Tribolium castaneum: one gene and its partners. The protein of the gene in region 3 purifies or fractionates together with the protein of the main gene of each other region. This does not show direct contact. Links are inferred from orthologs where the notes say so. Each region holds a gene or a part of one and is shown on either strand. Other genes may lie near its edges. The genes, in order: eIF2Bepsilon, eIF2Bgamma and eIF2Balpha.

What was found.
Region 1: the proteins of eIF2Balpha (region 3) and eIF2Bepsilon purify together in Homo sapiens (affinity purification with mass spectrometry; 7 studies listed by BioGRID and IntAct, counting the BioPlex papers as one, with this or other methods). This does not show direct contact. The link is inferred for Tribolium castaneum from reciprocal best matches to the Homo sapiens genes EIF2B1 and EIF2B5.
Region 2: the proteins of eIF2Balpha (region 3) and eIF2Bgamma purify together in Homo sapiens (affinity purification with mass spectrometry; 7 studies listed by BioGRID and IntAct, counting the BioPlex papers as one, with this or other methods). This does not show direct contact. The link is inferred for Tribolium castaneum from reciprocal best matches to the Homo sapiens genes EIF2B1 and EIF2B3.

The regions. Positions count from the first base shown.
Region 1 is NC_087402.1:10,478,482-10,489,745, forward strand, and holds eIF2Bepsilon (translation initiation factor eIF2B subunit epsilon), read left to right. Parts: upstream 1-6,047; 5' UTR 6,048-6,127; coding exon 6,128-6,223; intron 6,224-6,268; coding exon 6,269-6,393; intron 6,394-6,440; coding exon 6,441-6,632; intron 6,633-6,685; coding exon 6,686-6,863; intron 6,864-6,917; coding exon 6,918-7,162; intron 7,163-9,380; coding exon 9,381-9,742; intron 9,743-9,789; coding exon 9,790-9,993; intron 9,994-10,039; coding exon 10,040-10,158; intron 10,159-10,213; coding exon 10,214-10,378; intron 10,379-10,424; coding exon 10,425-10,631; 3' UTR 10,632-10,696; downstream 10,697-11,264. Other genes in the region: arylsulfatase B, read left to right, coding at 1-467; zinc finger protein OZF, read left to right, coding at 4,171-4,314, 4,363-4,789, 4,841-5,512, 5,561-5,841. UniProt on the Homo sapiens protein: Acts as a component of the translation initiation factor 2B (eIF2B) complex, which catalyzes the exchange of GDP for GTP on eukaryotic initiation factor 2 (eIF2) gamma subunit.
Region 2 is NC_087395.1:21,887,260-21,898,523, reverse strand, and holds eIF2Bgamma (translation initiation factor eIF2B subunit gamma), read right to left. Parts: upstream 6,122-11,264; 5' UTR 5,983-6,121; coding exon 5,826-5,982; intron 5,780-5,825; coding exon 4,962-5,779; intron 4,912-4,961; coding exon 4,682-4,911; intron 4,636-4,681; coding exon 4,479-4,635; 3' UTR 4,435-4,478; downstream 1-4,434. Other genes in the region: very long chain fatty acid elongase AAEL008004, read left to right, coding at 1,706-1,868, 1,918-2,237, 2,288-2,473; transcription elongation factor 1 homolog, read left to right, coding at 6,352-6,467, 6,521-6,653; Unc-115a (actin-binding LIM protein 3), read right to left, coding at 7,737-7,850, 7,901-8,101, 8,651-8,691, 8,994-9,063, 11,105-11,202. UniProt on the Homo sapiens protein: Acts as a component of the translation initiation factor 2B (eIF2B) complex, which catalyzes the exchange of GDP for GTP on the eukaryotic initiation factor 2 (eIF2) complex gamma subunit.
Region 3 is NC_087400.1:173,496-183,874, reverse strand, and holds eIF2Balpha (translation initiation factor eIF2B subunit alpha), read left to right. Parts: upstream 1-5,105; 5' UTR 5,106-5,257; coding exon 5,258-5,270; intron 5,271-5,336; coding exon 5,337-5,438; intron 5,439-5,483; coding exon 5,484-5,623; intron 5,624-5,669; coding exon 5,670-5,786; intron 5,787-5,832; coding exon 5,833-5,945; intron 5,946-5,990; coding exon 5,991-6,135; intron 6,136-6,183; coding exon 6,184-6,309; intron 6,310-6,354; coding exon 6,355-6,513; 3' UTR 6,514-6,573; downstream 6,574-10,379. Other genes in the region: drn (AN1-type zinc finger protein 6), read right to left, coding at 1-79, 148-246; tyrosine-protein kinase Fer, read right to left, coding at 6,860-7,137, 7,185-7,307, 7,356-7,896, 9,341-9,538, 9,635-9,787, 9,842-10,028, 10,077-10,289, 10,353-10,379.

The DNA of each region.
Region 1 (11,264 bases), on a different chromosome or scaffold from region 3:
CTTGTCTCTTTAACATCAAGGAAGATCCCTGCGAACAAATCAATTTAGCGGCCGAACGTCCCATGATTGTCCTGAACATGGAAATGGCATTAGCCCGATTCAAACAAACGGCTCTACCCATCAGAAACGTCCCAAGAGACCCTAATGCGGACCCCGCCAAGTGGAACAACACTTGGGTCAATTGGCAAGACTACGAAGACGTGAAAAAGCAGAAAATTTACTTCAATACGTTGTCACCGCTGGCGATTGGCTTAATTTCCGCAGCGGTTGTTGCCTTTGTTGTCGTTATAATTATCCTGGTGACTATCACAGTGAAGAGTTCTTTGGATAAGAAAAAGGCCGGGAAAGCGTTTTTCGACGATCCCATGGAGCAAATGATGACGATGGCGCCGAAACCACAAATTTTCGAAGACAGGGAATTGCAAAATAGGGAGAGTATCAGAAATGAGTTTAGGACGGTGGAATAGGAAACAAGCGGCTTTTCGAGAGAAAAGCTCGTTCTTGTTTCGATTGTGATCAAAGAGCTTTGGGGGTTTCTTATAGAAATGTCCACAAGCAAGTAGGGTTAAATTATTGTAAATATTTATTTTAATTTAGAATGAAAATAAATTTATTAAAAAAAAATCGCCTTTTACTTGCTCATCTGGTCAAAGGAATTGTTTCAAATGGCGCAAAACATGCAAAAAAGTAAACTCTGATTTTATTTGCGGTTCGTTTCGTATATTCCCAAATTAACATGCTCTAGGACTTAAAGGGTTATAATTTTTTTATTGAAAAATTCAATATGCCTCTTTCACCGAAGCAGGTTCAGGTTTTATATAATATAATATAAATATAATATAAATTGAAAGTATTGGAAAAATGTTATGTCTCATTAAATGTACCTTTGAAAACTCTACAAAATCGCATATGCTTCAACAGTGGCGCAGCCAGAGACAGTTTATGAGGGGTTTACCTGCATAAAAATATATTTTCACTATAGACACTAATAACAGTAATAACCACACAAAAATGAAAAATAAACGTTTCCTATTAAATATGTTGCTCTGAACACAATGATGTGTTTTAGAATTTTTCTACGATTCCTTACTTACTTTAAATTGATTAATTAATTAATTAAGATGTCGCGCAGTTTTTTTCCGAGATGTTCGGTGTAAAAATAATGTAAAAAAATTGTCTCAAGTTTAAGTTTATTTGTGGCCCGGCGACCTTGATGCTTTTCGCGCATTTAAGAAAATCGCGATTTTTAATTAAATAAAAATTCTTTACATTTTACACGCCTGACTGTACATTGGAAAGGCATATCTCATATTTTCTGGTATTTTTTTATTTACAGACAAAAACAAAAATTAAAAAAATTATTTTCGTCTAAAAAGTCTAATTCTGAATTTTATTCTAATAACTACGCGTATCCATTTCAGATAGGTAATTGTTACGAAATTAGCGAAAAAGAATAGCAGTCAGATTTTGAATTAAACGCTCTTTTACGTTTTAACTTTAAAAATTATTTTTATCTATTACTTGTGGCTTCGTAATTTTAAATTTAAATGTGAAATGTAATTATTGGAGTAAGTTTGTAAAAAACTGCGTTGGAATTGTTGCGATATTGAATGTAGGCATCAGTTTTTGTCAAATTTATTGCGAGACTGTAATTAATGCGCTTAAAAAAGGTCGGCTACTGGTAAGTGATCTCCTTGTTAGCAAATTATACCATTTTCTAATAAATCAGGCGTATAGTTTGCGTTTAAATAAAAAAGACCGATTATTTAACCAACCAAGTAAAAATTTGTAATTGTGATACCAGGGTTTGATCTGCTGGCAGGATTCACTTAGTGTAATAATTTTATAGTTAAATTAAGAACTTTATTTATTTAAAAAATTACAATAATAATATAAATTCTAGGAAATAGAAAAAGACTAATGTTTACATGGGTTGTCTCAAAAAATTTATTTTAGTTTTATTATTACTACTAAAATCATTTTGCTTTTTCTACTGGGTTTCAAAGTGATATCTCGTGATATCTCAAAAAAAAAATTGCAATTTTCAAACGACGATTATGACGAAAATAGACTAGGAGAAATAATACTCTTATTCCATCGTAAAAAGCGCCATCAAAATCTATAAAAATAGATGTTTTATTTTCAATCGATTGTAGGCCAATTTCAAAATCGGTCATTTCAGTGTTTAAAAATTTTTCCTTTTTTTTAAATTTTTTTATTTACATCAAAACTTTTTAAAAAAATGGAACTATTTTGATATAAACCATGTAGAATAAATAAAATGCACCGAGAATCGATTAGCGTCAAGCAAATTGCACAATTCATAATAGTCTTTAAGTTATCAACGCATAAATATAATCTATTTATGCATTTGTTAGCACTTTCTTCGAAAACTACTATTAGCCAGAAAATAATGATCTTTTAAAAAAAAGATAATTAAATCATTTAAGAACCAAAGATAATAAGTTTAATGGGGTTACTTCTAATAGTTCCGGAGTTATCACCAGATAAATGCTCCGGAAAGGTATATGAGAAACTATAAATCAACCAAAATCTCGACAAAAATTAGAAAAGTCATCAAAACTTGTCAAATGTATTCTATTAATGTTTTCTTGCACTTTTAAGACCTCTAGAACTTTGGACCAGCGAGTAAAAAGTTTCAAAAATTCAAGTGTTTGAAAAAACAATAGGATGGTTTAAAAACTATGTGAATGCCATAAACGGCATAAATATGCACCACAAAAAATTATAGGTAATGTAATTTATACAATGTATTTTTAAATGATTCTCATCTAGTCGTCTGTAAATTTCTCATGTAAAATCAGAAAATTCCGCTTCATAGAACTAATGATAGGGATTTAGACATCGAATATTACCGTTCTCCATTTATTAAGTTTTAAATTCAGAAATAAGATTCTATAATGAAAGTGTTTTCTTGTACAGTGTAACAATTTAATTGCATTTTACCAATTTTTTTTCATAACTGACAGATTTGACATTTATTGACAGAGGATTCAATTTTTTTAAATGTTAACCAATTTCAAAGTTGAATCATTGAAACACACATTGTAGTTTCAATGAGAGATCTAATCATTAATAACTACAATTCGGTTCACTTTCATAAAAACCATTGTGGTGGAAATTAGGTACTCTTGGCATTAACTTTTATATGAGTTGTTATAGTAACAAGTTAGTCAGTTCCACCAAAAATAGTTTTTATCAAAGTGAACCCAAAGTAATTTACATTTTTATCAACCTCATTAAAAAAATTATTTGGTAAAATGCGACATTGGCATTTACATAGTTCTGAAACAGATAATAAGTAAAATAAACCGTAAAATTCTCTGGAAGAAGCTAAATATTAACAAAAAATTGTTTACTCTTAGGTAAACCATAAAGGCTTAAGGCGTTTTGTTATTCTTCTCTGAACGGTTGGAAGAAAAATAATAAAATCTTCTCGGTTAAAATTTTGTGAACTACTGGTTTAAGGGGTTTGCTTACCTGCATACTGACATACGCTGGCTGCATAACGACAGCCCTCTCGAACCTCGAACTTTATAAGCTTGTGTTTAAACTCTTATATAACTCGTACCTATTATTAATAACTATTTCACCACTTTCTTTGAGTTTTTCACAATTTTTTAACACAAACGGACGGAAAATAAAAAACCTGACGCGACCCGAGCAAAATTACACTACTACCAACCCTTAAAACCAAAAGCTTTTTTGTTATTTACTTTCTCGAAGAGCCTTTGTTTTAAAATATAAATAACTTGTTTGGGTATTTCTGCAAAAGAAGCACTAAACGTAAACTTTAATTACTCTCATGATTATAAAACTGTGGAAATAGCTGAAAGCACAGTTGAAATGAAACTGAACAACCCCGACAACAGCACCACCAACCCTTTAGACTAAAAAATTATTATAAGTATTTATTTATATTATTAGGCAAAAATATTTTGTCTGGATATCAATGCATGATTTTTTGAAGATAAGATATTATTTTTATAATTGTCTAAATTTTATTTTAGGTTTATTATATGCAACCAATAATACATCCATGTGACCAACAGTTTTGTGACAGCTGTGACCCACCTTTGTTTATGTGTCTTAAATGGGGGCTTATTCAGCTTAAAATAGCGAAAGTTGGGTTTCATTTGAAGTAAGATCATGTCAGACCCAGATTCTGTGAAATTTGTAACAGATTTCAATAAAATTTGCCGGACATGTCTTTCAGAAAAAAATAAGGAAGATTTGTGTTCTCTATTTGATAATTCTCTTGATGTGATTCTTACAAATTTAGCTGAAATAAATGTAAACAACCATTTAGAAATAAACAGGCAATGAAATAATCAATTTTAGGTTAGAAGGGACGACGGTTTGCCCGGTTTTATATGTAACGACTGCATTTTCACTTTAAATTTATTTATAAGTTTTAAAGAGCAATGCCAGAAGGCAGAGTCCCAACTGAGGAAAGCTCTGTACACTACGCCGGAGATTTACGGCGAGTACAAAACTGTAACAGTATTAGGTGACAACATTTCCACTATTATTGAATTCAAGAATGACTCTGTGTTAGACAATCGCGACAAAATCATAACAGTGAGCATAAATGAGCCCCAAATTGTAAATAGCGACTTGCAAATCGATAATCCAGTTACAACGGACCCCCTGAAATGCCCCAAATGCGAGCGTTCTTTCAAACTTGAATCCACTCTAAAAACCCATTTACTAAAACACGAAAAAAACCAAAAACTGAAGTGTGAAATTTGTAATAAAGAGTTTAATCGTGAGTGAATGTATCACGTTTGATACAAAAAACCCAATTAATTTTTTCTAGTGGTTACACAATTCAAACATCACGTGCGCACCCACACCAATTACAAACCCTTTTCTTGCTCAAAATGCGACAAATCATTCGCATTATCGTCAAGCTTGACTAAACACATGCGAACACATGGCGGCGAACGCAAACACTTGTGTATCACCTGCGGGAAGCGGTTTTTCGAACCGGGCCACCTTAACGTAAGTAGCACCTTCGGTACTTCCCCCATAACGCGCCCATTCAAGATTCACATGCGGACACACACCGGGGAAAAACCGGTTATTTGTAACAAGTGTGGTAAGAGATTTACAGACCCACACGGGCTCATAGCCCACAACAAAATCCACACCGGCGAACGCAAATACGAATGCAACACTTGTGGGAAAAAATTCGCACATTCTTTCGTGCTTAAGGCGCATAAAAGGGTCCACACCGGGGAAAAACCGTACGCTTGCACTATGTGCAAGGCCGCCTTTGCGACGTCCTCGTACTTAACGATTCACAAAAGGACGCACACGCAAGAACGGCCCTACAAGTGCGAATGTTGCAGTAAGGCTTTTATCAGTCGGTGTGCTTTAGTAGCACACATGAGGACACACACAGGGGAGAAGAAATTCCAGTGTTCGGTTTGTGGTAAACGCACAGGGCGGGCCGCTGATTTACAGATACATATGAGGTCACACACTGGTAAATCCCCAACTGTGGTTTGACTAATAACAATTCGGGTTTTTTTAGGGGAAAAACCCTACAGTTGTGACTTGTGCCCGAAAAAATACCACACTTCGAGTAACTTAGCGGCGCATAAAAGGACACATCTGGGGGTCAAAAACCACTTTTGCGCCGTTTGTAGCAAGGCTTTTGGCGACTTGAGGACCCTTAAGTGTCACATGAGGATACACACGGGGGAAAGACCGTACATTTGCGGGGTGTGCGGCAATAGGTACACCCAGTCGGGACAATTGGCCGCACATAGACGCACGCATGATGTTTACATTGATGTAAATACTGTTACGTAAATAAATCACTGAAAACGACTGGAATATTTATTTAGGGAAGCCCCCCGATCACGCGCCCCCTGGTGGCGGCGTCGGTAATTAACAAATCGCCAAAATTTTGAATTTTGATCAATGTAATGTGAAAAAGCCGCAGAAAAATATTTTGGTAACACCAGGCGATAGGGTTTCGAGCTCTGCTCCGAAAATGCAAACAAATCGCTAAAAAAAGTGCGCCCTCTTGCGTCACTTGTTGTCAGTCGAGTTTGTGACTGGTGCTAACCTAAAAAATCAAAATTTTTAATTAAAAATGTCGATTAAGAGCAAAGACGATATTATTCAAGCCGTGGTTGTTGCTGATACTTTTGGAGATGAGTTTTTGCCACTTTCGTCCGACATCCCTCTGGTACGCTAAAAGAAAGATGATGCAATCGTTGATTTTTTTCTTTAGGCACTTTTCCCTCTAATTAACAGACCTTTGATTGATTATACTTTGGAGTTTCTGTCTCTGGGAGGCATAGAAGAGACCTTTTTGTTCTGTTGTTCACACACAGACGCTATAAAAGCCCACATAAAGTAGGGATACGCCCCAGTCTGTGCTCTCTTAATTCTTGTGTTTTCAGTCAGAGTGTTAAAGACAAGGCAGGATGGAGTCTCACGATGAAAGTCAATGTTATCGTATCGGAAAGTTGCCACTCGTTTGGCGATTGTTTGAGGGATTTGGACAGGAAGGGGATTTTGAGAGGGAATTTTGTTTTGTTGGAACCCGGGACTTTATCCAATATTAAATTGTTGCCAATTGTTAAGAAACATAAGTAAAGGTGTTAGACTTGTGTTAGGTACTTTTCCCTATAATTTGTGCTTGCAGTGAGGTTGCTAATAAGGACAAGGGGGCTGCTATGACTGTAATTTACCAGGAGGCGGGGATTGGGCAAATGGGGCGCGACTTGAACGAAGAAGTCGTCGTTGCTGTCAATAATAACAATCGGGTTTTATTTCATAGAAAATTGGGGCAAAGCAGAGACAGAAAAATTGAATTTCCTTTAGTACGTCCTAACTTGTCCAAATTTTTTTTTTTTTTCTAAAAATTATAATTACAGGAAATTTTTCTGGAAAATTCAAACGTGTCGCTACATCACAACCTCAAAGACACACATATTGCAATTTGTTCTCCGTCAGTTTTGCCTCTCTTTTCCGACAATTTTGACTTTCAGTCTAAAGACGATTTTGTCAAGGGTTTACTAATGAATGAGGAAATCCTCGGGAGTACGGTGTATTGTCACGTGACGAAAGGCAGTCACTTTGGAGGGGCTATTACCAACTGGCGGATGTATCAAGCAATAAGGTATTTTTTCAATACAGAGGATTAAAATATGAGGTGATAGGTGCAGTATGAAAGTATTAAAAAAGTAATTAATTCACCACATCCGAGCTGATTTAGATTATTCGAATAAAAAATAGGAAAACGTTTGGAAAAGTTATTAATGCCCAAAATTCACACATTTTTGCGTTAAGTTTAAATTAACGAAAAACAAGTTAGCTCGTTCTAACTCGTTTCACCTCATACTTTTAGTTTTCCGTATTTAAAATAGAGCGAATTTGCTAAAAGTATTTTTTACTACTAGCTGTTTTAAAACTATAAAAACGCCAACGTCGCATTTTTTCTTAAAATTAGCTGTTATAATATAAATTATTTCTGTACTTATAAAGAATAATAGCTAATGTAGTCTATACTTTCAATGAGAGATCTAATCATTAATAACTATTTTACAATTTTATCAATCTTCTTAAAAAAATAATTCGGTCAAAGTTGGCGTTTTTATAGTTCTGAAACAGCTATTATATTTCAAAAATTAATAGACGCACAGTATTCAGAATTTGGTATTAACTGTGGTTTTAAATTATATTGTTCAATATGCAGTGTTTTTTTGAGAATTTTTCTTGTGATTAATATTAATTAGTAATTAAAAATATTAATTAATTGAAATTGATTTGTAATGTTATTCGCTCTCACCTAAATACGTTTATTATGGGATCAGTAGTATTTTTTTACCAGTTTTTTGCCCAAAATAACATTTAAGCATTGCTTGCTTTAAAATAACAAGAAATAATATTTTTGTGCGACTTAATTCATTAATTAATTTTAATTATAAGGAACTGTAGAAAATTCTGAAAAAAAAACAGATGCAAAGAGAAACATACAGAGTGAGTTTACGGTGAAGCATAAAATTTCACACCTTGCTACGGCTTATTCAAAAAAAATTAAATAAAATCGTCAAACAGGTTTTTTTATAAATACTACACTTTCATTTTACCTCGTAATTTATGACGTCACTATTCTTTGAGAAGTTACGTTTTTTTTAATAAGAACTGACATTTTTATGTTGAGTTTTTTATAGTATGCTCCTTTATTTTTCTGGTAGGTACAAAAAAATCAAAAAAAAAGAAAATAATAAATAAAGAAAAAAGAAGTTAAAAAGGGTTAATTATAAATAATAATAAAAGCGGTCGCCTCTTACAAAATAAGGTAATAGCAAAAATATTAGACCTTTTGCGTGAGATTATAAAAAATAGATTTAATTTTTTTTATTAAGCCATTCCATATTAATGTACGGAACACTACAGAAATTTTTTGATTTTATTTTTAGTTTTTATGAACATTATCAGCAGAAGTAAATTTTTCTTTACAGGAGCTTAGTACCAGTCCAACTGTTTGTGACTTTCATACGTTTGTGAAATTTGAAATACAAGGTAACGACTTCTGATTAATTTACTTTCTGTTTACACATGACGGACGCAACAAAAGAATCATGTGTGTAAAAATAGCTCTAAAAAAATTATTCAGGCAGGTTTTAATTATTAAAAACTTCAACAATATCAAAGTTACACAGTGGAAATTAAAAATTATTGGTTTTGTTTAACGACGTAAGAAATAAGAACATTTATATGCTTCTAATAATGAACGAGACATCAAAATATACGAAGATATAAAAGTAATATTACTATTCAATTTACTTACCGATTTTCATTTTCTAAACTTCCAGAAACTAGAAAAACACTCAAAAATTATTCACAACTGTTGTTGTACTTCAGCTGTCAACAGTATTTTATGTTATCGCCTACAAGGTATGTAAATTTTAGAACCCACTGAATTACTTCAATTTATATTATTATCCTCTCCCATTTTAAATCCATAACAAAAAAACTCTCGTCGCAAAATACATAAATATAAATCGAATCGTGTATTTTGAAAGAAGCTTTAAATACTAAAATTATTTTGGAAATTTCGGTGTCAGTTTGTATTTTTTCTGGAATGGCTGTATTATTTCTTACTATTAAAAATAAATAAAATTGACGTCATTACTCAAAAACCAATGACATCATAAATGTTGCTATGGTGTCAAAATTGATTTTTTTTTTTGAAACTGACCCATAACAGAGATGTAAATTTTATGCGTTATTTTCAACTCACTTTGTCCTATAATCCTATAAAGTGTTTAATAATACCAAAAGCTGATTTCTGTGTAATTCGTAATTGTTGACGTACAGCAATAAATTTTTAGCCACGAACTACAAAACAAATGGATTTACCCGTTACAACCTCCGGCTTTGAAAGCCCACAACTTGAAAAACGGTGTCGTAACAGGCGACAAAGTCGTACTAAATGACAACAAAAAAATTGCAAATAGTATTATAGGCGATAACGTAACAATAGGCAAAAATGTACAAATTGAGCACAGTTTTATTCTCTCTAATACGAAAATTGCGGACAATGTTATAATCACTCATAGCGTAATAGGACCAAACTGCCACATTAAAGCAAATAGTCGGATCACTGCTTCAAGTATTATCGGAAAAGACGTGGTAATCGAAAACGAACAATTTATTGAAAATAGTCTCGTCCAATCAACTCAACCAGAAAATTGTACGTTTTTTCCTGTGGCTTTCCCCGACTGAATTATTTATTTTAAGGCGAGGAGAAAGACAAATTAGGCAAAAAAGCATTTAGGCTGAAACTTGAGACCGACGATGACGATTTGGGTGCGTTATCTCGGAAATTATCGCAGCTACATATCGGGGATTCCCCTGTTGAAGAATCAGAAGATGAAGCTTTCACAGACAGTGAAGATGAAGAATTGAGTTATACTCAATCCCCAGTCCCCGACGATACAAAATGTAAGCCTCAAAACCCCCTGTCTTAGTCTCACTCACCTTCTTCTAGTGTTCTTCACTGAAGTGATAGACAGCTTAACACGAGGTTTTGAAGATGAATTACGTTGCGAGAATTTAATTCTCGAAATAAATTCCTCACGTTATGCTTATAACGTCACAGTTAAGGAGGTAATTGATTTTCAAAAGCTCAATTCTAAATTTTTTTTGATGGTCCAATTTTTAGGTAAATTTCAACGTCATCAAAGCTATTTTAATTATGTCGTTGAGATTTCCTATTGGAGCTCAGTATTTCTCTCAGTTTGTGCGTTTATTGTCATTCTTTGCTCCGATCCTGAAGAATTACATACGCAATGAGGGGGCCATGCTGGACTGTTTGCAAGCAATTGAAGTAACTATTTCCAAGTCGTTGAGCTTGGTTTAATCACGACTTTCAGGATGTCGCAATTTCGAACGAAAATGTTAACGAAAAATGGGTCATGTTCACCATGAAATGGTTCTATGATAAGGATTTTGTCACCGAGGATGTGATAATGGAGTGGTCCAAAAGTTTAGATACGAAAAGTCGGTTTTATGGGCAAGTCAAGCCGTTCATTGAGTGGCTGGAGGAGGCAGAAGAGGCTTCCTCATCCGAAGATGATTAAAAAAAAATAAAAAAGTGTATTTTTAGGCATGACCCCAGGTATTTATTAAAATCGTTAAAAAAATATTTTAAATTAAATTTCTAACCACAGTGACCTGTGAATTTGACAGTTGCCAACTTAATTTCAAAATCATAGGCCACTGTGATTAGTTATTTATTTTATTTAATCATCACAAAATTGGCTAAAATCGAGCTCAATCCTTTTCTTTTTTGTGTTAAATTGCCTGAAAATCCCAAATATGCGTAACAAATGCGATTTTAGTTTAATAATTACTTACCTATAAGTAATTCCATATTTATCGCATAGTTCTTTGGCTATATTATCGTCAGTATTGTTTTGATAAAAAACAATTTCTTTAATTCCAGCTTGTGCAATAGCTTCGGCACATTTGTCACACGGAAACGAAGTTGTGTACATAACATTTCCCTCTTGAATTTTTTGTAAGGCTTTATATTCAGCGTGACTAGCTAAAATTTATTGAAATAATTTTTTTATTGATTTTTGGCTAAAAACCATACTATGCAACTCGTGTTTATTTGTGTCAAGACAACTGTTGGCCATGCTTATTATTATTTTACGCTGATTTAGAATAATTGCAGCATTGTTGTTATGACCTGGAGCTCCTCGTCTCAG
Region 2 (11,264 bases), on a different chromosome or scaffold from region 3:
TTTATTTGAATTTAATTTAATCCAGAATTACATTAAATCTGAATGACGAATTAAAATTTAATTGCAATTTTTTGCAAACCGGCCTTAAACCGAATTTAGTGACTCCAATTAAGTATTTTAACTGGATTTATTTCGTATTTTGTTGATTTATTTCACATATTAACAAAAAAATATACAAAATATAAAAAACGATAAAACAGATTTTATTTTTTATTATTTAAAATGTCTTCACAGTACAAACTTTTTTTTCAAGTGCCATCGCGTGTCGTGATTTTCCTCATTTTTGCCGAAAACAAAGCTTTTCTCAAGGACCTTCGATTGCAAAAAAATAGTGAACCGACAATCACTTGTTAGGGTCTTAATCAATTTTTTCAGTTTCTCAAAATAATTTCACATTAACTTTTTTTTCAAATGTCATTCTGTTGGTCGCTGCCAAAAAGGCCTTTGACTGTGTATTTTATTTATTTGAATTTAATTTAATCCAGAATTACATTAAATCTGAATGACGAATTAAAATTTAATTGCACTTTTTTGCAAACCGGCCTTAAACCGAATTTAGTGACTCCAACTAAGTATTTTAACCGAAATATGTAAAATTAGGAAAGAAAAGTAGGTATTTTGACTGGATTTATTTCGTATTTTGTTGATTTATTTCACATATTAACAAAAAAATATACAAAATATAAATAACGATAAAACAGATTTTATTTTTTATTATTTAAAATGTCTTCACAGTATAAACTTTTTTTTTCAAGTGCCATCGCGTGTCGTGATTTCCCTCATTTTTGCCGAAAACAAAGCTTTTCTCAAGGACCTTCGATTGCAAAAAAATAGTGAACCGACAATCACTTGTTAGGGCCTTAATGAATTTTTTCAGTTTCTCAAAATAATTTCACATTAACTTTTTTTTCAAATGTCATTCTGTTGGTCGCTGCCAAAAAGGCCTTTGACTGTGTATTTTATTTATTTCAATTTAATTTAATCCAGAATTAAATTAGGAAAGAAAAGTAGGTATTTTGACTGGAATTATTTCGTTTTTTGTTGATTTATTTCACATATTAACAAAAAAAAATATACAAAATATAAAAAACGATAAAACAGATTTTATTTTTTATTATTTAAAATGTCTTCACAGTACAAACTTTTTTTTCAAGTGCCATCGCGTGTCGTGATTTTCCTCATTTTTGCCGAAAACAAAGCTTTTCTCAAGGACCTTCGATTGCAAAAAAATAGTGAACCGACAATCACTTGTTAGGGCCTTAATGAATTTTTTCAGTTTCCCAAAATAATTTCACATAAACTTTTTTTTCAAATGTCATTCTGTTGGTCGCTGCCAAAAAGGCCTTTGACTGTGTATTTTATTTATTTCAATGTAATTTAATTCAGAATTAAATTGAATCTGAATGACGAATGAAAATTTAATTGCAATTTTTTGCAAACCGGCCTTAAACCGAATTTTAATGACTTCACTTAAGTATTTCATCCAAAATATGTAAAATTAGGAAAGAAAAGTAGTTTTTTTGACTGGAATTATCTCGTATTTTGTTGGTTTATTTCACATATTAACAAAAAAATATATACAAAATATAAAACTCGATATAACAGATTAGAAATATTGATGATAAAATCGATAATAAATCGGAAGACGTCGAGTGAGTCATGTTTTTCGTCGAAATCACGCTAACGTTGGCGATTTTTCCCGCAGATGGCGCGGACCTGCTGGTGGTACTACTTTTCGAAGTTCACCGAATTTTTCGACACTCTATTTTTCATTTTGCGGAAGAAAAATAGCCACGTGTCTACTCTCCATGTCATCCACCACGGCTGCATGCCGTTTTCGGTCTGGATGGGGATGAAATTCGCGCCAGGTGAATACTTAATTTTTCCTGCTGTTCCAAATTTGACTGAAACGTTTAGGTGGCCACAGCACGTTCTTCGCCTTGCTCAACACATTCGTGCACATCATCATGTATTTCTACTACATGGTGGCGGCCATGGGGCCCCAGTACCAGAAATACATCTGGTGGAAGAAATACCTGACCACGTTCCAGATGGTGCAGTTTGTGGCGATTTTCACCCACCAGTTCCAGCTGCTCTTCACCGAGTGCAATTACCCGAAGAGCTTCATGATTTGGATCGCTTTGCACGGTGTCATGTTCTTATTCCTGTTCTCCGATTTTTACAAAGTTAGGTACACCAACAACAAGGCTGTGAAGAGCAATAGCGGCGCTTGCATGGTGAGTTAATTGATGGCATTCGGTTCTTTGTGAGTGATAAGTTGTTGCAGCCGGTCCTCGAGGATGAGAAGCAGCAAAACGGAACGGTTACGAAGTCCGACAGTAACGGCACTCTTAACAACACTTACATCAAAAGCGAGTATTCCGATTCGTACAAAGCTTGCTACTCGAACGGCAGCACAAACGGCTTTGTGAGCCAAACCGTAATAGAGCGCAACTCGAAGAAGATCAACTAGGTTTTAATTTCAGTGGGTACAAAAGGACTCGACTTTTGTTTAATTGTAGACTTATTTATTAGATAGTGTACGATTTGTTGTCAAAATTTCGTATCTCAGGGCGAAATAATTGGTTTCTTTTTACTTGATGTATTATATAAGTTTTTACGGCTGCAGGGACCATTTTCATTGCGTCAAGTCGCTTGATTTTTTCATTTCATCAGCCATTAGTGCCTGAATTTTTACCACGTTTCTTAGCTTTAGCTTATTGTTAAAGTTTTGCACTTTGAATCGTTGCCGGTTGTTCGTACTTAAGAATGTTTTATTACGTTTTCGTATAATTTATCGGATGTTTTTTATTCAGGGAGTTGCACTCTGCTGCGTAAATTCGGCGGCTCTCTACGTCTTTTCAGATAAGTAAGTGTAATGGAAGCTGTATCACTGTAATTAATGTCGTTTTATTATCATTGTATATAATACATACTACGCGTTTCTTTAGATTTAAAGTTGTATAGTATTTTTGTATATACTTATGAATCTTGAGAAATAAAGTGGAAACCTGCGTTTTGCAAACGGAGTTTCTCTCCCTCTCCTTTCCCCAATCCAAAAAAAATCGCTAAACACAACACGAGAATTGTTTAGAACACGAGCGAACACAGTGAGCACATAAAAATATAAACAACGTATTTAAATTTAAAAAAATATGAAAATAATAAGTTTTTTCCAGCTTCTATTAATAAAATGCTCATTTTACATATTAAATCTTATTATCAATACAATAATTTAATCAAAAGGACAAATAAAATGAATCGAAAGAATGAATTGAATGTTTACAGCAAAACTTTTATTCACACTGTTATTTACAGCACGCACAAAATAAAAAAATTAACATTGTATTCATTGTTTTGTTTCATTTTTCTCTAACTTTTGCCAAAACTATTGTTTTAATAATGTTCATGATCTATTTACAGAAACAGAATTAAACTTTAATCCAGGCGGGTGTCATTTTTATTAATAGGAATTGTAAAAAATGTTGTACGTATAATTTATGTAAATACAAAAATTTTATCCACTCAAAAACTAAACTTTTTTTAAGTGCATAAATTCGTCGTTATTCACATTGTACCATAAGTAATAAGTAATAAGTAATAATTTTAAATTTTCGTAAAAGCTTTAATTTTCAGAAGTATAATTTAAGTTCTGCAAGTATTTTAGAAATAATTCTTGATTTGTTTTTATCAACTTGCTAGTGAGAAACAAGGATTTGTAATAATCCATGCGAGTAAATTAATTGTCTACATCCATGAACAAAAAATTATAGTTTGAACCTCTTTCAAACATATATTATTTTTATTTTTTTTTCTATTAGTATTAGTATTCGAGTTATTAGCATAATAAATTAATATTCTTAGTACTATGCACTCGTATTTATTTTACTATTTTCTGACTTACACTTTTTTTTAATTAAATTATATTTTCTTCCAATAATTTCTCCAAAACGGACCTTTATAAATATTTTGAAAATGTGAAAAAGTACTTATTTTTGGCAACTACTGCACCGTCACCGTTTCTATTCGCAACTCAGGTCGTTAATTAAGCGTGTTCTTCATTTTTTGTACTAAGATTGAGGAAAATTTGCAAACTCTTATCGTCTTATTTTTTGTGCAAAAAAGTGAATACGTAAAGGATTCCATTTCACCGAACACAAAATCTCGAATATTAGCTCCTTTAATATCGATCGAAAGCAAATGCAGATATTTCCAGAATTCGATGACGCATTTATGAACTTTGCCGACCATCAACATACGTAAAACCCAAAATTAACTTTACCCGAATGGATTTCGAGAATTTCGCTAAATAGACATCGTAAAAACTTGCCGAATATTTTAGCACTTTTCGCCTGCTATTTGCCAAATTTTAACCACAGAATCAATTAGCAAATAGACGATTTTTTGCTTACGAAACCGAAAAAAACCAAGTAGTTCACATTTGTATTTTATTCGTAAATTATGTACAAAAATAAAAATTAGAATTCCATCAAGCGGTCCGAATCCGTGAGCACCTCTTGACTATGTTCCGAATTTTCGGGCACTAAGTGGTGACTGCCGATCAAGCAGCCCTTAATCTGACACCCCTTCTCGATCGTCACTCCATCCGAAACTATACAATTCTCCAACGCCACCCTGAAACACAATTGCCACACAGGCCACACAATGGAAACCCACTCACTTCTCCTTAATCGTCACATTATTCATAACAATGCAATTAAAAACCCTCGAAAAACTGCAAACTTCACTGTTAGCCCCAATAACCGAGTTCTTAAACGAGGTTTTCTCGTGCAGTTTGGCTCCCTCCCAAACAACACACTTATCGTCCACTTGGCTCGATTTAATCTCACTTTTGGGGTGTCTGAGGACGAGGCTTAGCCCATTTGTGATTTTGTCCCACCTTTCGCTGACCTGCAACGCACACTCTCAAGGGGGCTCACAACGGGCGAACTACCACGTACTTTGCTATTAACGGCCCAGTACGTCGCTAAAGTGTTGACTCGCACCCCGAACGAGTCTCGGGGGGCTATCAAGGCGTAGCACCGGATGCTATCACCGTGATACGTGGGTTTGGAGTCACCGATATGGTCGTTGTAGGACGAGGACTCCCTTATAATAATACTGAAAGGGTCCTCTTTCGCGTAATTAAAAATGTCCTCGCTGTCGCATTTACTGACTATTGACTTGCCCTCGGCCCCTTTCGGGGGCTTGGAGAGCTGTTTTTTGACAATGTGGGGCAAGAGCTCGCCCTTGATTGTTGTAAAGTTCGGCTGGCTGTTCAAATATTTGACCACCCAGTTTTTCAAAACGTACACGTGCGAGTCGACCAAATTGCTGTACATTTTAACATGAGTGTGTTTCTTGAGCAAAGAGCGCGGTAGCGATAATTCGCTCTCGAAATCGCTCGCGGACGCTAAAAACACCAAACGGTTTGTTTGCGCGTCAATCCCGACCAAATCGCGCTCCGGCTTGTGTTTGGACTTGGGGCCCGGGATTGTTAATTCGCCCCCGTGAGGGTGGAAGAACAAAGACGCGACCGAGGCATCGTGCATTCGGAACACGTCCAAAACGCCTTTTAGGCTAAAATCAGTGATAAAGTCGCACGAAATTACAAGAACGTCGGACTTTAGCCGGTCATGGAGGAGTCTGAGGGAGTCGGCGGTGCCTAAGTCCTCCTTCCCGCTAACGGGGAAGTAGTCGATTTTGATCTCAAGCTCGCTTTTGTCAAGCGTGGCCTGAATCTCGCTTTTGTGATTCTCTAACACGACAAGAATTACGTCTAAAAGTCTGGTAATTATGAGATTTCGAACGGCCAGCGCACGTACCTGTGAAACCGGACTGCTGCAGCTTGTACAAGGGGTACCAAACGAGGGGCTTCGTCCCCACGGGCAGCAGACACTTGGGCTTGCCGGAGGTGATCTCGGGCATGCGGGAGCCCCGGCCGGCCGCCAGGACCACGGCCTGGAACTCGGGCTGAAACATTCTTGCAAAAACACACAAAAATATGTCACAAAACTTTGCAACAAATGTGTGGTTATATCACACCAATGACAGAGGCACCAACATAACAAATTGTTACGCTAAATAAAAATAATTCATTTGAGCCCCTTATAAAACTTTAGCGCATTCCTCAAGACTGAATCGTGAACACGGTCGGAACTTAATACCCGGTGATATTAATTAAGCTCGCAATTACGCTCAAATTGTCTCAGTTTTTGCCACCACGTTGGTGTTACTGTCACACGTCAACTTTGCGCAAAAACTGTTTATTTTGGTCGGGTCGGTTTTTTTGTAAATTTTGGGGCCAACTTGTGTTGAAAACTTTTTTTGTGTGTAATTTAGTGTCTTGTGATGGGGCGCCGCAAGTCGAAGCGAAAACCGGCGCCGAAACGCAAAGCTGTGGAGCCCCTGGACCAGCAGTTCAACTGCCCTTTTTGCAACCACGAAAAATCGTGCGATGTTAAAATGTGATTGTTTTTATAAACCGTTGGGTTTTATGGGGTAATGTGTGTGTTTGTAGGGATAAGGGTCGAAATACGGCCAGGATAACGTGCCGAGTGTGTCTTGAAGACTTCCAAACTACTATCAATTTTTTATCAGAGCCTGTGGATGTGTACAACGATTGGATAGATGCATGTGAATCTGCTAACTGAGGTTTTTATGTAAATGTTTTATTAGGTACAAATAACACTTTTTTATTATATCAGTCTAGGAAAAAATGTATTGAACGAGTGGTTTTAAAAGTAAATAAGTCATATTTAAAAGTTTTTTATTCATCAGATCAATTAACAAGAAATCTTAGACACCTAAAGCGTTATCGTTATTTTATGAGAATAAATATAATTTGTAACAATTGAAACAACTATGAAAATGAATATTTTTGTTACACGTTAATCGAGTGGTCTAATTTTTTTTATTTGAAAGACCCAGTTCTTTTGAACAATTTGTAACATAAAAATTTTGTATCGGTCTCGGTTTTGGAGTGAAAAAATAATTCAAGTCGATGTGTCAAAATTTCAGGCGTTTGCCCATTTAATATTATGGGTGGTGGTAAAAAATGTCTTAAACGAGTGGCTATAAAAAGTAAACAAGTCGTATTTAAAAGTTTTTTATTTATCAGAGCAATTATTAACAAATCTTAGATACCTAAAGCTTTAAAATCGTTATTTTATGAGAATAAATAAATAATTTGTAACAATAGAAACACTCATGAAAATGAATTTGGGTTTAAAACAATATACCAGAAATAAAAGGTACCACAAAGTCCTTGACAGCACTAACAAATGTACAAAAGAATATACGACTAGCCCAAAGCAATAATTAAAGCAATCTAAATGCCGTTTTTATAAATAACTTTCAACTATCTTAGCACTACCTAGTTATACACTTATCCTATAGAAAAAATATCAATCTCTGAATATAGCCAATTTGTCCTATGATTAAAAAATTGTTGAATCTTCCAAGATACTCTTTTTCACCAATACAATACAGATTATAATAGTTCAAATCAGTAGAAAAATATTGTTTTTTATCTAGTTGGAATAATCCGTAAGGAAACCAAGAGCTACTCTAGCACATTTCGCAGAAACCTTGTCAACTTAAACTATGGCGAAGAATGATCCAGTCGGTAAATGAATCAAGGAACACTCAAAGAAAACCAGTTACACATCGCAGTGTATAGCAGCCTTAGCGTGGTGGTTTAGCACTCAAGCAGCATCTAGTAGCACATGAAGAGTTTAAAACAAGCGAGCTCTACGTTTTAGTTCGTTCCTGCGCCATTGGGGTAGTCGGTAGAAGTCGGTCCGCGAGACTTGGAAAATCGCCTCGAACTCGGCGTCCGACAGATGTCGCTACAAAAAATTCCAATCATCTGGTCACAAAATCGGAAAAAGTATTTTACCTCAAGATTGCATCTGTCGACATCAGAAGGCAGTCTGTAATTAGTGATCACAAGCAAGTGGTAAGGGTAGATTTTGGCCGGTTCGTTTATCAGCATCGTGTGGGCCATGTTTGGAAGGGACCGTCGCACTTGTGATGAGTACCCGCCCGGGTAGCGCCCCAGGGCCCCCATGTAAGTCGCCGACACGGGCATTTCGGAATTCTAGCACACAACACAGTTACGAACAAAAACCGAAAACTGCGCCACCACCAATACAACTAACCGGAAAAGCAACAAATTATGCACAGGGGGAGCCCCAAGACAAGCAGAACGCTTCCTTGACTCACCCCCAAAATTTCACCGGAAATATGAACAAAAAATTGTAACAGTTAATTTACTTTTTTTTGCATATCGTGCCTGAATATAAGATGACAAGACTAAATAAAATAGAGACAGAAAACACAAAAACTTAAACCACAGGCTACCACAGTCACTCAAAAATAATTACTTTTAAATTTTTTTAGTTGGTTGTAAGAAACTGTATTTAAACAATTTCGTGGTGAAAAGTTTGGTGAAAATGTGGCTATAAAACTGTTTTGTTGCTGGATGTAACCTCAACCAAAGATTATTTTACCTTGACCCCAAACTAACTAAAGGCAAATAATAAAAAACGAGAAAAAGTGTATTATCACAGAACAAAACGCTTGAAAATTAAGAAGCCGTTATTTGGAGCGTTACACAGAAAAGTTAGATAAAGCATTATTTACATACCAGAGCACGTCTTTCAACATCCGTGATGGATCCAGTGGAAACTGAAGAAAAAGCATTAACTTAACATTCTAGCTTATAAAATATGTATTGGAAAAACTAGCCTAGAATTTCGTTCGGTACAATCGTTTCGATCGATTTCGGACGCAAATCATGCATAATAAGCAATACGGTTTTGAAAAACAACCAAAGAGAAGTAAGCAGCGTATTACTCAAAAAAAATTGTTAAAACTTTTCTCTCGATCCCACCAAAGTCACCCGAGTTTTCGGTGCGTAAAAATTTCAGAAAATGTGTCAAAAAGCCGCTTAAAAGCCAGTTTCTACTGATAAACGATGAAATACTTACTGTCGGATTTTCCACAACTGAAGTCAGTGCTATGGGTTTTTGCACCCATTCCGCTAAACGAATAATCGCCCTGTGAAGGAGGAACGTAATTAAACATCCGAATTTCCCGATTTTCGAGGGATTAGAAACACACAAAACATGCGATGAATAAATACAGGATGACAGGACGACATGACTAAGCTAGAGAACGAGACACGAAAATTTAACCAGTTGAGGGAAAAACATGAAAAACCTTCATATGAAGGGTGAAGCTTTAGACAAATCAAGTGACATGACGAATTCACAAATATCGGGTGTTCGAAAAAATACCAATTTTCTAAACCTTAAGGAAGGAACCAACGTGAAAGTCTTACGAGTGACAGAAAAAAATTCCGAAAATACAACAGCTAGTTTCATTAGTATACGAATATTTCTTCTTTTTTTAGTAGAATTTATCAGTTGATTTATGATACAATAACCAAAAACAATTTAAATCACTTCAAAATTTCATTATCAAAATAAAGGAGAAGTTCTTTTTCAATTACTTATAGGTTTAGAGCATGTAGTGCAAAATTAATATTTTTGAATATCTGACAATTTTGCAATGTTGTAACAGTAAGCTAATAAGACTCTTGTCCCCGTTTTTGTAAAAGTCTTTCTAATTATTCTTAAGTATTGTTTCTAAGATTTTTTTTAATCTTCTTTGATTTTTTTTAAAGATCGGAAATCTGAACTTTTCTTTAAATTGTTCCTGTTTTTTTATACATCCATCTCCAGATTTTCTTATAAATTCTTGAGATGCCGCTTTACTATGATTTTCTGAACTCTACTCAAAATTATTTTATAAACATTTCTTTCCACTCTCCTAAGTCTCTTTTAGACTGAGCCTTTTCAAAATCCGTTTCGTTTAGAATTTTTTAATTATTCTTTAGTATTATTTCTGTACTTTCTCTATATTTTTCTTAAGATTATTCTCTGAATTTTTTAGGTGTGTTTAAATTTTTTGAATTATTTTGTAATAATAATATATATTTGGTTACGACATAGCAACATGTGTAAACCACGTCAAATAGTATACTGCAGGCGGTATTCAAAATTCCTTTATAACCACTTCTTTCTTCTACACTCTACAATTTCCCTTTTAGATATTAGTCTGCGTCTTCTCGAAATTCTTTTATATTTTCATTTAGAATTTTCCTAAATTACTATTTAACATTGTTTCTCTACCTACTCTTCCCTAGATTTTTCTTAAAATTATTCTCAAATTTTTTTTGAGTTTGAGATCTGGATTTTTGTTTAGATTATTTTAAATTCGTCTACAGATTTTTTATAAAGTTTTCTTCTTTAAAATTACTTTTTAATCAAAAAAGCAAAATTATTTAATAAATGCTTCTACAATTTTCTACATTCTTCAAATTGTCTTTTAGACTTTAGACTTTGCATCTGTTCAAAATTCTTTTTTGGTTTTTGATATCATTTTTAGATTATTTTTCACATCGTTTCTGTACTCCGTACTAGATTTTTTAAAAATTTCTCTTCGATTCTTTGTTTGTTTTTGTTTTTTTCAAGATTATATTCTTTAGAATTTTTTCTACACTTTCTCTACGTTTTTCTTAAGATTCTTCTTTAATTCTTCTTTAATTTGAAAATTTGAAATCAGGACTTTTCTTTAGATTATTTTAAATCCGTCTCCAAATTTTTTATAAAGTTTTCTCCTGTAAAATTATTTTTATTCTGCAAAACTATTTTATAAACACATCCACAATTTTTCTTATTATTCTTTAGCATTATTTCTGTAGAAAACTTAACATTCTGAAAATACAGTTGACTAATTCTAACAACTATCCTTATAACTATTAACAAATTATTTTATGAGGAATAATATTCTCTAAAATTTTTTTACATGAACTTAGTTTTCAAATAATCTAATTGTAGTTAACGGTTATTTTATAAGCAAATAATGAAAAATGAAGGCTAAAAAAAAATCTATTCGCGATTAAAATTAAGACAGGTGGTGAATTTTGACCGCGTTTTTCTGCGATATAAAGTTTGAACCGATTTTTCGTGCACCCGATACAGTTTCAGACGTGCACAACGACCAATCACGAAAGCATGCCTAGGGTCGCACTTACAGGAATCTGCGGATAACTACCCGCCGATGAACTGAATGTATGAGATCGAGGCGCCAAACCATAACCCGGCTTAGGAACATGTCGCAGAGCGCTCACAACTGCGCAGAGGGAAAGTGAAAATACACAAAAAATGACACAATGAAAATGGAAGAGCGTGTGA
Region 3 (10,379 bases):
TTTGGGCCGTTGCCGTGTCCCTAAGGGCGCTAAGACTTGTAGGAGTGGATGGAAGTTGTTGTTTTTTCTTGAGAGCCTCCTATAACAAAACAAACAAAAAAACACCGAAAAAAAAATGAAATAATCTGTCTTTTTCATATTAATTACCTTGTAACAGAGTGAGCAAAGACCGTCCGTTGCCGGACTTCCATAAAATCCACATCCGGAACGGCAAAGCGCTTGCATTGGATTCGATTCGCGCTCCATTATGATTACAAAAAAATGAATGATAAAAATCAGAAGAAAAAGAAGAAAGAAAAGAAAACGGAAAAATCAAAAAATTAAAATTATGGCGTGATTAGGGTCCGAGTTGGCGGCGAGTCGAGTGGACACCCTGTCACGAAACAATACTTGATGGATTTATCTGAAACAAAACAAAAAAAATCGATTTCAGACCCAACTTGTAGGTTTTTTGACGTCACAACAACGATCGATGTTCGTTTGTTTTATTACCGGTCGACCGCGACACGTGCTCTAAATTTCTCGTTAAACAAGTGAATGTCGTCGGCGGCAGCCGTCGTCTACTTCCAATGAAATTCACACAAAAAAACAATCGAACGGCGGAAACGGCCCACTTGATTTATTCAAATGACGTAAGATTTTGTTATGTCGTCACCACCATGTATATATTGTTTTGTTTCGTACCATGAACAGACCACGTGACCTTACCAAACCAAGAAATGTATAAAAGGTCGGCTCAACACGTGCCATAATAACAACAACATATCATTATAGACTAGAATAATGCGATAAAAATATTGTTTACGTCTCAAAACTGATAAAATAAAATTTTGGGAAGAGATAATCCAAATAAACAGAAAAAACTCAGCAAGCAGGTTCCGTTATTTGTCCCACTTGTCCGAAAAGATCGTGTGAAAAATTGTTTTATCTTTCGATTGCGTAACCGTAACGTAAAGTAGAACAAGATCCACTTATTTCAATACACTTTCTTCTTCCGTTTATTGTCATGATTTAACTATAACCTTAAAATAATTTTTGATGACACATCGTGTTACCTTGCAGGTACAGTAAAAATATTTCACTTATGATAATTAATTGATGACGCAAAAAGCCTCGTTTAGATGTACATAAACAAAATTTTAAACCGTTGTTGTTGCGCGAGAAATCTACGTTTTGCAATAATACCAACCTTACGAAATTATGGCAATACGAGTCAGTGTGTCCTATAATTATTATTTTGCTTTCATTCACAAAAAAAATAATAAAATGAGGAATGAGGGGAAAAAGAATACACGTGGAGTGTGTGTATGTATAACGAGCTTTCTTTTTTCGGTAATTGAATGTGCAAGAGACGGCGTAAACTAGGTCACCCGGTATACATTATTCAAGGTCATCGCTTTCGAACGAGAAGGAAATTCTTATTTAATACCATTTGGTAATTTCGTATCATTTTCACATTACTTTTTACATTAAAAAAATGGCGGCCAGTGGTCATATTGAGATTTTTATACAGAAATGTTTCTTTGACAAACTGCAAAAATAACTGTGGTTAGTTAGAAATTTTCTCCAATGTTAAAGTACTTGAAGTTGTCCAAGTCTAAAAATTTTCAGAAAATCTTAAATATCTCGAAAACGGTTAAACTTAGGTAGAGGGAAAACTGACAAAAACGGCCTTGAAATAACTCAACTAATCAAAAAACGCAGTAAAAACGTAACTTTTTAAAATAAGAAAGTTTTTAGCGACTTCCGATATAACCGGAAGTGCCGTCATCTTGAAAATATTTTCACTGAGCAGAACTCAACGGATTTTAGCCAAGTACCAACTTTCAGATAAATAGTTCTTTATTAGAACTTGTAATAATATGAAATGTTTAAACAAAGGTTTAGCAAAAAAACAAGGATTGCTTAGTTTTTGACATGTCAAAAGTCAACGATTGCTTTGTTTCACATTAATTCAAACAACAAAAACAAATGTTTTTGACACAAAGACATCGAAATTAAAAATAATTGAAAAAAATGGCCACAACGTCGCCATTTTCCCCCCACGTGACCTGCAAAAATAGACAAATCACGTTTACTCACAAACGAGCCAAAAACCCCGAGACACATCTAATTACATATACAGTCTTGCCAACCTTCCGAACGGCAAGGTCACACATCAAAGGCCACAAACCCCAACGTCTTCCGGATATTTACCCGTAAAAAAAACGCACGTGTATGCGTTCTAATGTCACTAACCTTTCAAGGGCGGAATATTTTTTTTTTCATAATTATTATTACCGTTATTACTATTTTTGGCACATCGTAGAACAAGAAAGGACAAAAGTACAGCCAAGTGAACAATTATTTGACGTGACGTCACGACAACGCTACGTCATTCCAAAACAAAAACGAATCACAAGAAACGTGATTCATTTGTCATTCAATCGGGTTCAAATTCGAAAGATAACAGCTATCATTGATGACGTCACAACAAAGTTTTTCACCCCGATCTAGTTGGCATTTCCGTCGCCACCCTATTATTTTATTATTAATCCCACTCACCTGTCACGGCATTCGTTTTATTTATTTTTCTCCCAAACAACAAAACGAAAAAAATGCAACCCCTTAGCTGCAGCTATTCATTCACTTGTTATTATTTAGTCACCAATTTTATAAAAAAAATAATGGATAATAACACACACTAGATAACAATTGTGAAAGAACACTCCGCGTATTTTACCACACGCCAAGCCTACTCGATTTCTACACTTCCAACGCACGACTGACGTCGTTCACGTCCCTAGATCGCTAAAATCAAATCGTTTGCGCAACTCGTCCAACACGTGCCAACCTAACGACCAATAATGTGCAAGAGAAAGACAACAAATGAATGAGACACATATACAATATGGCCGACTAGGTTGGAAAGTTGCCGAGTCAAGTGTTGACTGTATTTAAAACGGTGCGCAAAAACACATTATTTTTATTTTTCCACGACTTGCTTAGACCAAAAATTCGCCCCCTGAAAACGAAACAAACGAACGTACAAGGTCAATGGACGCGGTCTACTAGATCAACAAACGCGGAGATTATTTTTAAAATGCCTATACTTCCGGGTTTTTTGTCATGACAGGTGTATATCTCGTTTTTTTTGGTCAAATTCATTGATTCTTTGTCTCGGAATTTAAGTAACGTGTCGAAAAATAACGATGACCTTCGGATGCACGACGACCTTCTCCACGTTGTTCGTTGTCTGTCAGCTGATGGGTGCGCAAAAATCGAGAAAATCGTTTTTTGCGTTCTCGACAACATCAAGACAACGATTTATTGTGAATATTTTCTACGTTTTTTTAAATTTGACAATATTTAAGCAGTTTATAATCAATTCCTTTGATATAAAATTTCTGGGTGGAGATTGTCATTTTTAAGGGTGTAGCCAATTTGAAAAACAACAAAAGGGGTGGAGCTACTTCGAAGCATAACAAAAATTTACTATCATTTGACAATCCTGAAAGTACAAAAATAACAGTGGATAATTTTTTTAATGCAAAATATTCAGGCTGATCCTTTTTTTGTGATTTTTTTCAAAAATTTAAGAGATGGTACCGGACGTGTTGATAACAGTCACCATTTTGATAAAATCATACTAGGTTTGAATATTGACAATTGACAATTTTGAAAATTCTAGTAAGCTTGAAATTTGTTGTTATTTAGATGTGGGCGGAGCTTCTATTTAAAGGTGGCGTTAAATGTAAACGACTAGTTCGTAGAAATAAAAAACACAAGTCATGGCCCATTTTTTATAAAAAGTACGAATTTAAATAAGCCCCACCCACTAGTTTAAATTCAATCAACACGTGACCAACCAAACTCCGCCTCCACATTTTGACAACCGTCCAATGCGAAAAACCAGCAAAAAAAACAAAAATATTTATTATTTACATTAACACGTGCATGCATTAAAACGCATTTTCGTTATTATTTTTTTGGTGGCGACGAACTTTGACTTTAACCTTCGACGACGCGTCCAAATTTACCCCCGCTCCCCTAGCACACGCGTTCATTGACCTCGAAAACCCCATCTTCCCCTATTTATAAAGGGGTGCATAATTCGACCTTGCGGCCCAATTATTCACAGGACCGGACCCAAATCGATAATACAGGACCGTATTTGAATCGATAACGGCGGCGGTGGAGGCGGTTTCACTCTCGCCGCCGCCACCGTTTTAAAGGGGATGAGACGCGACGCTTATCGATCGGGGGGCGGTCTTGCCGCCCCCCAAAAATATCATTCAAACACTCACCATACTAGATGATGCGAAGAAAGTTGGTGGTGTTCACACCTGAAAAAAAAAATTATTTTTTTTGAGTCATAGTAGGCTTGTATGCAAGTCACGTGATTTTGACATGTCGTTAATTAGCGAAAGCGCAGTTTTTGCCAAAATCTCAAGGTTTTTCGAAAGCGCGTCAAGGCTACCAACCGAAAAAAAAATCGATCAAATTCATTTGTTTACTCCGGAAATTGAGAACGTGCCAAAAATCCCCCAACAAAAATAAAAATATCCACGTCAATCATAATTAATCGCACGATACGGGCTTAAAAATGGGGGAAAACCGCCCCATACAGCCCCCTTTTAGCGGTGGTGCAGTCTCAAGGGGGCCCATCGCCTACTAACAATGAAGCAGAAAGTAACTGTACTAAGGAAAATGGCGACAGACAATTATCGAACTTGGCCCAACATATTGCGCAAATTTCGGCCAAAAGGGGGCTCCCAGGGCCCCAATTTCATAACAAGGGGGCACAAAGACATGCAAAGAGGGCTTTATACTCACATAAAGGTAATTTTAGGCCAAAATAATCCAAAAAAAACTGAACGATGACAGGGCAATCCACATCAACTACACAATTGATAAAGTTGGTCTGGTAATGACACGTGACCGGAATGAAGCCCGCGGATTGGTTGGCCGAAAAATGTTGCTAAAGCGACATCTACAAGCGAATTTAAAACGACCCCCATAATTTAATTCGGGCATGTTTTTTTAAACCAAACGTTATACTAAGTGTATAAACAAAGACCCAATAAATCAAACACACACATTGTTTTTATTTTGGTGGTGTAAGACACGGCGGGCGTGACTCTAACCACTGCCAAGACCACGTCGGTAAGGCAGTGACCAGTCAAGCGAAAAGGGAGGTTAAGTCAATTGTTTAATTTTGAAAATAAACACAATTGTGACAATAATTTGGCTTTAAGGCCACGTTATTTACATAATAATGGATAAGCAAGGTACGAATGTTACACTTTTGCAAAGTTTTGGGCGTTTTCAAGTCACATATGTGGCCCTTTTTTTAGAAGTTAAGGCCTTTTTCGACAAAACAATCGCCGAAAATGAGGACCTGTCGGTGGGGGTTGTTGCGATAATGACCCTCATGAAAATCATCGAAAAATATCAAGGTTAAAATAAATAAAACGCCACAAAAACCTAACCTCACTTTTCAGACAATACGGTTCAGGGCCTTGACGAGAACCTAAAACTGGGCATTTTGGCAATAAAAACGTCCGACTATCCCGTCACCGCGATAAATTCCGGTTGCGAACTTTTTATGCGCTTCATAACGTTGGCAAAACTTGACTACAATGTAATAGAAAAAAATTTAATTATCACCCAAGTAAATGAAATTTTAGAGTTTTGAGCAATGTCGTAACGTTATGCTCGAACGTGGCAACATTTTCCTAAACAGATTGAAACAATGCCGTGCCAAAATCGTGAAACTGGCCACAAAATTCATAGCTGACGGTTCTGTAAGTTTCAAGGTCGTGGGTGTGTAAACCCCCCATTTTTTTGTAGAAAGTCCTCACACATTCACGGTCACGTGTCGTGCTTCAAACTTTGATTGAGGCGTCACGTCAAGGCAAACAATTCGAGGTTTACGTCACGAAATCCGCGCCTGATAACAGCGGGTAAATCCCCGATTTTGTACGATTTGGCTTGACGTCACGTTGCAGGGACGTCATGTGCAAAAATCTGACTAGTGTGGGAATCCCCTGTACGTTGATTCTCGACTCTGCGATTGGTTATGTGATGGAACAGGTTGATTTTGTCATGGTGGGGGCCGAGGGGGTTGTGGAAAGTGGGGGGATTGTTAATAAAGTAAAAATAACACTATTGGTTTGATTTTGGTTAATTTCGTTTTGTAAGGTTGGTAGTTACACTATGGCCGTTTGTGCTAAAGAAATGAAAAAACCCTTCTATGTTCTGACGGAGAGTTTTAAATTTTCGCGCCTGTTTCCACTAAATCAGGGGGATTTACCGCCGGAGTATAAGGTAGGAAGGCGTAAAAATAATTAGGGTTAAGTGTTGGTATTACAGTACTCTGCAAGTGCGCGTCAACTTGATGAGAGGGATTTTAAGAAAATTCATCCCTTAGTGGATTACACGCCCCCGTTTTACATCACTCTATTGTTCACCGATTTGGGGATTTTGACTCCGAGCGCCGTCAGCGACGAATTAATCAAATTGTACTTGTAATAAATTTAATAAATTGACAGTTTGTGGCTAAGGTTACCCCACCAAATTTTTTAAAATTTATTGATTTTAAATTATTACCTGTAACAAAATCTAAAAGTTTTTTGGCACTAGAGTCACGCTAACTACAGGCACCTCATTCAATTATTTTCCAATTGAAAAAACCGGGTTTGTGGTTAAGGTTGGTCGCCCCTGGGCGCCTTTCCACGGTGATAAGATAGCGCGCCATTTAAATAAAACGTTTATTCAAAAGTCAGTCAAACTTTTTACAATAAAATACAAGTTATAAAATGTTTATCAACGTCACAATCACAGTAATTATAGCACACTTGATATTGGCAATCTCTGATCACAGGAATGACACTCTATAGGCGGCACATAGTGTTTCCACAACTGTATAAATTTGCTCAAAATTGGGCCTATTTTCCGGCTTATATTCCCAACATCTCAGCATTAAACGGTACATTTCGTCGGGTGTGTTATCAGGTGCCGGCATTCGATAACCGGCGTCGATTTTTTCCCGCGCTTTTGAGTTGCTCAAACCACTGTAGGGGGTTCCCCCACGTGAGAAAATCTCCCAACAGAGAATACCGTAACTCCAGACGTCGCAAAGCGACGTGTATTTGCCTAAAAGTGGAAATGTGACTGCGACTTTGTAAAATTGGGGGAATTACCGAAATTGAGTGCTTCAGGGGCCGTCCATTTGATGGGAATTTGCTTCATGCCGTCGGAAACGATATATTCCTCCTCCTCGCGTGACATTCCAAAGTCGGAGATTTTAACCACGTTGTTGTAACCTGAAAAATGGGTAAAACCCCGATTTTTTACACAGTGCCCTGACTTACCGACTAGGCAATTCCTCGCGGCTAAATCCCGATGAATGCAGTTTTTCGATTCGAGATAACGCATTCCAGCTGCCGCGTCCAAGCACATTTTCATCAATTGTGCGTCTGTGAGTGCGGTTTTTTTCCGGAGGAAAGTGAGCAGGGAACCCCCGGGGACCAGCTCCATGACGATCATGATTGGTTGTTTTTGTACGCAAATCCCAATCAGTTTAACGATGTTTGGATGGTCGTACTGCTTGAGAATTCGGCCCTCTTGAAGGAACTTTTTCTTGTGGTCTTCTGGAAGTGTCACTCTGCAGGTTTTGACAGCAACGACGTCGTTGCTGTTCTTAAGTTGCGCCCGATAGACGTCTCCGAAATTTCCGCGACCGATTTTGTCCAATAAGACGACATCATCATTGTTTAGTTCCCAGCGCTCGCGCGGGATTGGCTTATAGAGGAGCGCCCCCGAACGTCCCGTGACCGGCAAGCCGCTCGTGTATTGGTAGAGGATGAGGTCACGGATGCTGGGGAAGGCAGGGCCTTCGAAACGATAATGGCCCTGGAAAAAAGATTTTTTTTTTGGTGGTGTTGATTAATTTTGTTCGCCCAAAGTATGAGTTGGGGGAATTTGCTTTTTTGGCGGTTTGGAGGCTTTGGGATGGCCCACCTGTCGCGAAAAAATCGTTCAGATATTGTGACTAGAAGTGTGCCAAAAAAATTGTTTTTTGGAGGCGTTCACTTGTACACAAATGACCGAATTAAAAAATTCATAATTCTGAAATGCGAGGCTCTAAATGTTTGCTTTTTTAGCTCTTTGTAGGTACGGGTCTTGTCTACAATTCGTACAAGTTTTGTCGAAAAATCTCAATTAGGAAATTTTTAAAAAATTTGTAAAGTCGTAACTGCAGGATTGAAAGAAATCGAGTTTGTGGAATATTGTATTTTGATAATTTAAACTCGGATTTTAACGCCCCTTTGGAATTTTATAGTTTGTGTCATTATCTACCAACACCTGTAATTACATTTAAATAGAATATAAAAAAATATCAGAAAGAATATCAAAAAAAAATTGAAAAACCAAAAAAAAATAAATAATCAAAAAAATTATAAATCAAAAAAAAATAAAACAAATTTAAAAAAATTAAAAAATCCCTAACAAATCCCAAAAATCCCCCAAAAATACAAAAAAATCTCTAAAACTCCCCAAAAATTCCGTTGTTTTTTTTATGAATTTTTGGAAACGGATAGGGCCCCAAGTGGACGATCTTTGGTAAAAATTTCCTTGGGCAAAAAAAATATTTTGGAAATTATGCACAAGTATAGACAATGTAACTTCCTTCGCTTTCAAGGTCAAATCACACTTGAGAAAATCAAAAAATAGCAAAAAAAAATAGCAAAAAAATAGCAAAAAAAATAGCAAAAAAATAGCAAAAAAAATAGCAAAAAAAATAGCAAAAAAAATATCAAAAAAAAAAATATCAAAAAAAAAAATATCAAAAAAAAGTATCAAAAAAAATATCAAAAAAATAAAAAAAATATCAAAAAAAATAAAAAAAACAAAAAAAATATTTAAAAAACATCAAAAAAATATGAAAAAAAATATATCAAAAAAATTACGCACAAGTATAGATAATGTAACTTTCTTCGCTTTTAAGGCCAAATCACACTTGAAAAAATCAAAAAAATATCAAAAAAAAATAAAAAATTCCCAAAAAAATTTCAAATCCCCAAAAATTCCTAAAAAAAACCCGAAAAACTCAGTGGTGGATAATGAACCGTTAATTGTAAATCTGCGATAATTACAACCCAACTTGAATTGTGTCAAAGTTAAATTTTTTTGTATCAACAAAGTTAAAAAATTCATAACTCCAAAACTACGAAAGGTACAGACTTGTAATTTTGGCAGTTAAGACAGCTGACTTAATTCAACGATTGGTGCAAATCCGTCAATCACACAACCCATACTTTGGTGCCAAATTCAAAAACTCTCAAAATCCACTCACCTCAGCTGTAGTTTGCACAATAAAGTGCTTATGTCCTCCCCAGCAAACCGACAGCACCGTTTGACATTCATCATTTCGGGTAGTTTCCCTAACAAGAAAATCGCCATCTTGTGTCAACAACCGCACAACTTCCTCCCGCGGAAGCACGCCATGAAACCACTCCTCATCCACCAATGACTTATTCGTCGTCATGGAAACCTAAATATTACGATTAAAAAGACACGCCCCTTTTCGCCAGTCAATCAGCCAATCAGTGTTAGTAGAAAGGAAAATGTTAGTCAAGCCACCACCTACAGGATCGCCCCCTTCACTCCTGGGGGCGGAGTCCCTCCTCCCCTTGGTACGTGGGGGCGCCACCGGCGACGCGGGCGCCGATTTTCGCCGAAACGGCTTACGAAAAATACCGACAAATTGCGTGAATGACCGTTTCGTGTCAATTGTGCCAACCTACAACCGCTAAATGTTCCCAACACCAGAAAAATTACTAAAATCACCACCTACTTGTTCGGCGGAATTTGTTATAAAAGTCGTCTGATTGTCAATTGATAAATCACAACCAGACGGTACTTCTTCACACCCTAACTCGTTCAAGGCACTCTTGATCAGTTCGGTTTGTTTCAACATTTTCCTCTCCTGACATTTGAGTTCGTTTAATTCTTTTTTGGAGGTTTCGGCCACGCTTGCCAACCTACAAAATGCATTTAGTGATTGTTGGGGGATTTGGGTGAAGGCACACCTGCCGGTATTTTCAGGGGGTTTCCCGTTTTCGGTCAAGTTGTTGCGTTTCTCCTGGTTTTCCTTAATACTGGCTTCTAGTTCGGTTAGTTTGTTACGCAGCCATTCCACGGTTAAATTATCGACGGTTAGTTGGTTTGGGAGCAATTTTCCGGCGCTGTCTTCGACCAGACTCTCGTCAAATGTGAATTTGACCGGTTCAGTGGGTGTGGTTCTAAAAAATCGGGGCAAAAATTCAAATTTTTTGGCGCGAAATTGAAATTTTCAAATCAATTACTTGTGTTTTTCGGTGAAGTCTTTGTAT